2 linked regions of the Oryctolagus cuniculus genome follow. The protein of the gene in region 2 interacts with the protein of the main gene of each other region in a pairwise test. Links are inferred from orthologs where the notes say so. Each region holds a gene or a part of one and is shown on either strand. Other genes may lie near its edges. The genes, in order: ARL14EP and SETDB2.

What was found.
Region 1: the proteins of SETDB2 (region 2) and ARL14EP interact in binary tests that used the Homo sapiens proteins (3 or more experiments, as listed by UniProt). The two-hybrid records come from large-scale screens. The link is inferred for Oryctolagus cuniculus from reciprocal best matches to the Homo sapiens genes SETDB2 and ARL14EP.

The regions. Positions count from the first base shown.
Region 1 is NC_091432.1:35,796,350-35,800,586, forward strand, and holds the start of ARL14EP (ARL14 effector protein), read right to left. Parts: upstream 2,933-4,237; 5' UTR 2,784-2,932; intron 1-2,783.
Region 2 is NC_091440.1:68,750,527-68,754,938, reverse strand, and holds the start of SETDB2 (SET domain, bifurcated 2), read right to left. Parts: upstream 2,943-4,412; 5' UTR 2,759-2,942; exon of another isoform or gene 2,409-2,758; 5' UTR 2,293-2,408; intron 1-2,292. UniProt on the Homo sapiens protein: Histone methyltransferase involved in left-right axis specification in early development and mitosis. Specifically trimethylates 'Lys-9' of histone H3 (H3K9me3).

The sequences.
Region 1 (4,237 bases), on a different chromosome or scaffold from region 2:
TACATACCTATTTCTAAGTTAATTTAGATGCTCTTGAAAACATAACTGATTAACTTATTTTGGGTCAATTTTCCTAGTAAGTTTTTGCTTGGACATTCTTGAAAAGAATATAAATTTTCTTCCTTCCATAAATTTTCTAATTAATATTAAACCACTATTAACCTGGACTCTTCATTGGAGAATGCAGTTAAATTGTTTCTTCTTCAAGATAGTCATTACCCTATCAGTCTTTCAAAACATCCCTCTTGTAAACAGGAGCTTACAATTATTTTGAGCAGTTGGCACATGCTACAATCAGTTTAATTTTTGGAGAAGCACCTGTAGGAATAACCTGCATGACAATTTTTGTAAATTTGCAAGGCAGTGAGTTAGTATGAAAAAATGCTCCCATTAACTGGTTTACTTCCCAGGTGGCAGCTGGGACTAGGACTGGGCCTGGCCAAAGCCAGGAGCTGGGAACTAAATCCAGGTCTCCCATCACTGCTAACTCCCAGGGCCTACATTAGGAGGAATCTTGAGTAAGGAAGTAGAGGTAGGTATAAAATCCAGGCACTCCAAAATGGGATAGGGGCATCTTGATTGACATGTTAACTGCTAAGACATACATCCACAATGGACAACTACAGATAACAATTACAGATAACAACACAATTGTCTATATTATCCTAAGTTTGGCAGAAGTTCAAAGGACTTCCCTGCCCCAAGGTGCAAGAAGCATTATCAGGAAATTTATACAAAAAAGAATTTACTTTTTAGGTCCACTCACATGCCTAGAAACATTTCATGGAAAAATGCTTTTGTGTACCATTTTTGAAAAAAATTAGGGTTATTGTTTCTTTTTGTATAGGGTCTTAACAATTTAAAAAGCATTTTCCCAGACTATTTCTTATTTAATGAAAATAATTTCATCTACCCCAATTACTGAAATCAGCAGCTTTGGCTATGGTCTCATATTTACACAAAAGTCATGCAAATTTTAACTGTTAAGCTTTTATGATTATCTTCATATATTAATTATCCATGCTACACGTGAGTAGGCACCAACTGAGTGGGAAGATTCAGGGCCAATAAGGGAGGTAAACAGAATTCAAAACCAAAATATAATACATGGTACCATTTAAAATATCTGGTTAAAGTGCCACAGTAAGTGCCGGGTATAGTGCTAAGCACAAACATTATCTCATTAATCTTCACAACAACCTTGACTATGTAGTTACAGGAAAAGAAACTGAAGGTTGCAGCTGTAGTTACTTACAGAGTCCAGCAGTGTCTGATACTCAAAAACATATTTGCAGAATGAACATATTTTCCAAAAAAAAAAAAAATCAAAAACAAAAAAAAACCACCAGTATTTTATTTCATACTAAGAATTCCTCTCAATTAGCTCCTCATACTTTAAGTTCAAACTAATGCACTCCCCTCTGATTTTCAAGTATTTTGTCCCAGGTACTTTCCCGTCAATTTTCTGGACAATATAACACACTCTTCAGGCTCCCAAACCCCTCTGAGACCTGAATATCACTGAGTGCAGAAGAGGGATTCCAACACTGAGAGGCTATTTCCAGACCAAGAGGACTGAAGAAGGCTCTCCTTATTCTTGATGTGGCCAAGATCTCCAAACAATACTTACACCAAAGAAGCTAAGCGGTTGTGAAACCGAACTGTAATCATTTTGATGAAAAACTCACTCCTTCCTATGTCTAGACACCTGACTTATCTGTTGTGATGCCCTCATACTCCAGGTCAAACTACACTACTTACAAAGTTATCTGACACTACGCCTTCTATTGCCCTCTCTGCTTGGGAAAGCTCCGGTTTTCTGCGCCAGGCAATGCTACCATATCCTTTAAGGCCCCACCATGGTCTTTACCTATCTGGTGAAGCTTCACCTCTATACAATTACAGGTCCTTCTTTCTGGTTATGCACAACACTTTCACAGTACAGTGAAACATCTTCTCTATTTCCTCTTAGCTTTTGGAAGGCAAGGGCTATATGGTGTTATTTTCAACTTCCAACCAATGTGAGACTTCATGAACTTCCCTTTCCCTAGCACTCATCACGGGCTTATTTATTTATTTATTTTTGTTACTATTAGTCTTTCTTATTATATATTATGCTCTGTGGGACTAAGGAATCCCCTAGGACCTGCCTACAGTTGTGGCCTCTTTGGCACAAAACAGGTACTCTATAGACAACGTCTTCTGAGTGGTTACAAGTTCTGAAACTGCCAACATCTCACACCAAGAAGGCAGAATCCCCCCCAAATCAACGTGACCAGGTCTCCAGGATCCTGTTACTATCGCCACCCCAACTCTGCAGTGGTTATACACATAACGTCCCAAGTTCAGCTACATTAAGATTATTCAGAGCACCAGATGCGTCCACTGGGCACCCGTGTTCGCGAGGCTAGGATGAAAAAATACATCACCTGCCCTTCGCCTCCACCGAACAGCTGTTTGGAACAGCTAGGCCTAGAGGACTGGGACTTAAGAACAAAGCCGGCGAGGTCCAAAATGTTTCTGGAGTTTCGCGACAATCGCCGGGGGCTGAGAGCGGCAGCGGCAGAGACAGGGGTAATTTCTGACCTAAAGGAAGTGGGTGTGAAGACGCGGGTAGGGTCCAGAGCCCGGGAGGTAGCAGGAGGCCTTCGGCGGCAGCTGGAATCCCCCTCACGTGTGGGCCTCTGCTCCCACCTCCCTGAGCCGCCCGGTCTCCCTCCCGACCTAGGAACCCTTCTCGTGCCCCCCACTCCTTCCCAGAGCCGTCCCCAGGCCCCTGGTACCTTAGCTTGAGCTCTCCTCCGCCGGGTTAGGGAAGCACCCGTGTCCCCAGAGTTCACACCCGGCCCGCCTTTGCTGCTTGTTTCCGTGCTACCATTGAGAGGATGGTGGGTGCAGGCTAGAGAGGCTCAGCGCTACCATAAAGAGAAGCCCGAGAGAAGCCTAGAGCGGCACAGAGCCGGGCGGCCTCCGGAGGCGGAAAGGGCGCGGTGACGGGATTGGTAAATGATTCAAGACGAGGCAATAGTTGCTTCAGACGCTGGCTCGCGTTTGCCATCTCCTCTCCGAGTTTAGGTAATTGGAAAATCTCCGGGGACTTTCTCTTACGAAATACACGTGCAGCTGACTGGGATTGTCTTCGCAAAGTTACCAAACTTTTGCTCCCAAATGCGCCTAACCCCTGAAGGAGAGTGAATGAGTTAAAAGGCTTTCAAGGAAGGACCCTTGATTTAAGGGATAGAAGATCTCAGAATATATCACAACTTGCACTTTTAAAATTATGTTATAAAAATAGTTGTTACTTTGAGTAAGATGTAGGATCCAGGAAGACGCTTGTAAGTTTTCTGAGGGAAGAGACATTATCCTTTATGTAATTGTGTTGTCTGCCACCTGGAGGTGCCATTTTAAGGTGAATTTGATTCACTTGGAATCATTGTGTGCTCAAAGTGCCATAGACCGAACTTTTGACCGGTTAACTATTTTAAGGTAGGAACAGGAGGGAAACAACATCAAGAACTATTGTTTTAACCTGCCTGTGAAAAGGGAGAGACAGGCAAATAAGGTCCTAGGCCCCAGCTTGCTGGTTATGCTATGTGTCCACCTACGAAAAGGTTGGATTTTGCCATTGAGCCTATGGTTCTCTGCACCACTTTCAAACTGCTCCCCAACCAATTTTAGAACTAGGAAATAGAGAAAAACAAAAGCAGTGTGTCTCAAGAGTGTCTGCTACTAAGTAATGAGACAAGAAATATAAAATTTATTTTATAGCTGATAGACTAGTGAGAGAAAAGGGTAAACAGTTAATCAGTGTAGAGTGATAAATTCCACAATAGCAACTCGGGTTTATGAACTGGATAAAATGAGAAGCACTAAAGCAGGGGCATTCTGGAAGTAAATTAACACTTGCATTGGACTGTCAAATGAGAAACTAATTCGATGCAACAGGAAGGCTTCAAATAAACTAGTAGGCAAATTGTCGTAGAGGTAATGGATCAGGAGGCTCACAGACCAAATTAAGATTCTTGAATAATATGGCTTATTGAGCCAATTTAAATATCCAGTGAAAAGCAGAGGGAAAACACTTAGGGGTACAAACAAGTGGAATGACAATGACACCACGATCTACAACACTAGTTAAGCAGTGTTCAAATATCCTATCTGCCACATCAGAATTCTCCACTTATAAGGACTGTAGGGGAGATTTCAGCAGGGAGGAAAGTGCTTTGAAAATGGCATA
Region 2 (4,412 bases):
GGCACTGGTTCAAGTCCCGGCTGCTCTATTTCCAATCTTGCTCTCTGCTATGGCCTGGGAAAGCAGTAGAAGATGGCCCAAGTGCTTGGGCCCCTGCACCCACATGGGAAATCCAGAGGAAGCTCCTGGCTTTGGATCGGCTCAGCTCCAGCCCTTGCGGCCATTTGGAGAGTGAACCATCCGATGGTTCCTTCTCTCTGCCTCTGCCTAACAAATAAATAAATCTTTAAAAAAAAAAAAAAAAAAAGGCATGGAAAAATGGAGTTGAAAGATCTTATTTTAGTGCAAAAAAATTTGGAATTCATGCAATTTTTTCCTTAAATTACCTCTTCCATTAGCTTTTTGAAGATCTGTTTATTGGAACAATAGCAACAAAAAGGAAGCACAACTAACCATAGACACCAAAGAGATTTAAAAAATGAACAAGATATATAGTATCCAGGACACATAGTTTCTCAAATTATTAAGAAAAAGATGACCCAATAATCATATTAATATAAGATATTAATAATAGGGGAAGTTGGTTGTAACTCTTTGTACTACTCCACAACTTTTGTTTTGTAAAGTTAAAACTATTCTGAAATTAAAAGTTTATATAAAAAAGTATGCTTTTTAAAAAATTATAGAAATGTATATAAATTATAGGTGAATACGTATTAATAAATATTTGAGCCTTAAGTTACAGAATGACAATTTACAAATCATTTTCAGCCATCAGATGGGTGAAAATTCAGAATATCTGGTGTTGATCTGGATTGTGGGAAAACTGAACTGTGGAGGCAAATTTAGTATGACCTGCTAAAACTAATAATGCTTACAACTTAAAACCAAGCAATTCCATTTTCAGATATATATCCTTGAGAAACAGCACAGGAATAAAAGCACAAAAACTCCTTTTTTTGTTTGTAAGGTGAAAAACTAGAAATAACCTAGGGTGGTCCCCTTAAAAGCACATAACATAATTAAATATAAAAACCTATAGAAGTGTCAGAAATATTTTACATAAACAGAATAGTTCAATCATGGTATGCAGCAGGTAAAATAAATGGCCCGTAAGTAAGATGCTGAGCTATAAATAACACGTATACACTGGGAAAACACTGTCAAGTGAAGCAAAGTTATAGAACGCACCCTTTTCTGTTTCTACTTTGTAAGGATACAAAGAACCAGAAGGCTCTGACCTGAAGTCCTCAGGGGCACATGGCAGAGGGACAGGGTGAGGGGGCATTCAGGGAGCTGGATCATGCTCTTTCTCTGCAAGGGTCTAACTTGGTAAAAGTAGGATATAAAAGTGTGCTTAATTTGAAAAGTATTGCCTATTTTAAAGCCATCGAGAACATATCACCAAACTGCCTTTCAGAAAGGTTCTATCAACTTGGATTTTCATCTAAGCACTCATTAAAAGCCTTATTTTTGAAAAGCTCTCATCTGTCTTGTGTACACACAAAAGGAGATTTTGAAAATCACTGAATTTATGAAAACATGCTTAGTGAAGAAAACTTGGGAAATACAGTAAAGTATATAAAAGAGAATTGAAATCATTCACAATCTCATCAGCCACAGACAACCAGCGTTAGTATTTCAGAGAGACAGGGCTTTGAAAACTTGTTCACTTTTCCCCCCTTCTCATTTTTTCAATTTGGCAGAAAATTAATTAAAATCAGCCTGCTTCATTTCAAGACATGGTTCCCTTTTGTTTGTAAAAACAGGTCCCTAACCCTGTAAGTCCCAAGCTGTCAACTCTGCGCATATTTCAACGACATATCAAAGTAACCATTAACGGCATTGCTCAATTTAAGTCCTTAGAGACGTCCTATATATAGGACGATGGGCTGCAATGGCTAAGACAGCCCTACCAGATGCTCTCATTTCTTATTGTAATTCTGGTAACAGGAGAGAACGTTTATTGAGAATAAACCACGTGTCAGGCCAGCTGCTAAGTACTTCCCGCGTCCTTAGTGAATCCGCACAGCAACCCTGTGAGGTGAACGAGGTTTCTGATGGAGTTAAGGCACGTCAGAGCGAGATGACGGACGGTAAGAAACCGGGCAGCCCGATTTCCAGAGCCCACGTTCTCACCGCTCCACCGAACCCCTCTCCTCGGCTTCACCCACTCTAACACACAGAGCTCCCTGCTCATTTCCGCACGCCGAAGATGCCTGCACACCCACTTCCTTAACTGCTTATTGGGCTGCAGGTGCTTATTATAGTCTGGCGCTCGGAGGACCTAACCTCAACTCTGTGATCTTGGATGAATGATTTTCACATATTCAGGTTTGGGTGTAACCTTACCTGTGGAAACAGTGGTTAAACCTTCAAGTTCTGCTTCTGGATTTTAGCCTGCAGTCAGAAGCCAGCGGCTCAGGAATCACCACTTTTTAATAAGGTGTGCGCTGCAAGATAAGAGACTGAAACGGGGGCGGGGTTAGGGCTGAGAATTCAGAGCTCTCGCGGACCCCTCCGCACCCCGGGACTGCACCTGGGTGCAAAAGGAGGGTTGCATGGGCTGGGGTCGAGGGCTCCCCGGCGTTCCCACGTCCTCCCACGGCTCCGCAGGAACCGTCCGAGAGCCACACACACACACACACAGCGGGGGCTCGGCTGCTCGCCGCTAGTCAGAGGTGAGGGCGGTGCTCTCCCGGGAGGGATGGCAAGGCTAGGAGTCCCCGACGGGTTCGGCTACTTTGTCTCCACGCCGCCGAAACCCCAGGCCGCAGGTACCCTCTGGCGGGAAAGTAGTACTTCACCATTTACTAACCCCAAAACTGTGTCTCGTCGCCTCGCCTCAGCCGGGAAGTTAGTAGCAGCGCGCAACCGCTAAAGCTCAGGCCCTCTTAAAGCGCTCGCTATATGGGAGGAGTCGAACGCCAAGGTCCCCAGCCACAGGGCAGGGAGCCCATTGGTTTCCTTCCCCGCTAAACCCACGCATCAGAGGCGCCGCGCGCGTACCTCAGACTCCGGGGCGGTGCCTGATGCGCCGTCTCCTGATTGGCCGCCAGCGCTCTCTGCTTGTCTCGCGCTCTCGCGCTAGGCCAATCGGGTTATCCGCAGTTTGGAGGCCGGCTTCTCTGGTGTGGTGGCGCCGCCGCTGTTCCCTTCGGTAGGTGTGTGGCTGCCATCTTGTGTGTGGCTTGGGCTGGGCTCTTTGGGCGTTGAAAGCTCCTGTCGTGGCTTGTCTTTGAAGACGGGTGCTGGGGGAGCAATGGTAGAGAGGAGGGGCCTGAAGGAAACCCAGCTAGTTCTCACTTGCCCAAAAGGATAGATTTCCTGTAGTCTCGTCCCTGGCGAGGGAGAGCGAGGAATGGTGGTTATGGCGGGGGTGGGGGGTGGGGATCCCAGGCTTTGGTGTGTCGGTTATCGGGTTAGAGGAGGCTTTGATGCATTGATGCTGATTCTTCGGGCCCGGAGGGCTTTTGCAGTGACTTTCGTAGCGGAAAGATTCTGAACATCAGCCCCCTTTAGCTAAAGGAGGCTGGCTGGTGGGCTGCGTGATTCAGACAGGAACAAAGCTGCTAGTGGAAGGGGAGAGGGCGACGCCTCACCACTCAGGCTCCAGAGGGACCTCTTCCTTCTCTTTGTTATCGAGGGAAGGGCTGGGCTGCTTTGTTCCCTCGTCCCCTCGCCCGCCTCCCTACTCCATCAACCATCACCACTTCCCCCTCCTTTGTCGCCCTCCCTTTCCTTTTCTTTCTTCTTAAATATTTATTTACTTACTGAAAGGCAGACAAGGAGAGATCTTCACTTCCCAAATGGTTGACTGACAGATGGAAGCCAGAAACTCTATCCTGGTTCCCCACATTGATGGCAGGGGCCCTAGCAGTGGGCCATCATTGGCTGCTTTCCCAGACACATTGGCAAAGGAGCTGGATGGGAAACTGAGCGGAGCCTGCGCTCAGATAAGGGGTACCAGCCTCCGGATAGGTGGCCTAACCCACTGCACCGCAGTGCTGCTGCCTGCTGTGGTCTTTTCCTAAACAACAGAAAAAGGAAAGTGAAAGAATTGTTTTGCCCTCTTGATTTCCTGGTTTCTCTGTGTTGAAATGTATGTATTTTGGGGGTGTACCATGGTATGCTTGGGTACTCCTCACAGAATAAGGGAAGGATTCTGTATGGGAAAGCCCCTTAAGTTCTGTCTTCTTTTTAGGGTGGGAGGAAAGAAGCAGGAATTATGTCATTTTCATTCCAATTTTTTAAAAAGAATTTACAGTAGAAAACCTGTATCTTATTTCATTTGAGAGAAAATTTATCAGACCTGAAAAGCTGATTAAAGGCTATTTTGTGAATAACTAGCAGTTTTGAGAGGAATGAGAATAAAGTCAAGATACTGTCTTGAGTGATGATCTAACCAAGTCAACAGTACATTATGTAGTTTGTAACAGGAATACCAGAAAAAAAAAAGATAAAATAATTGA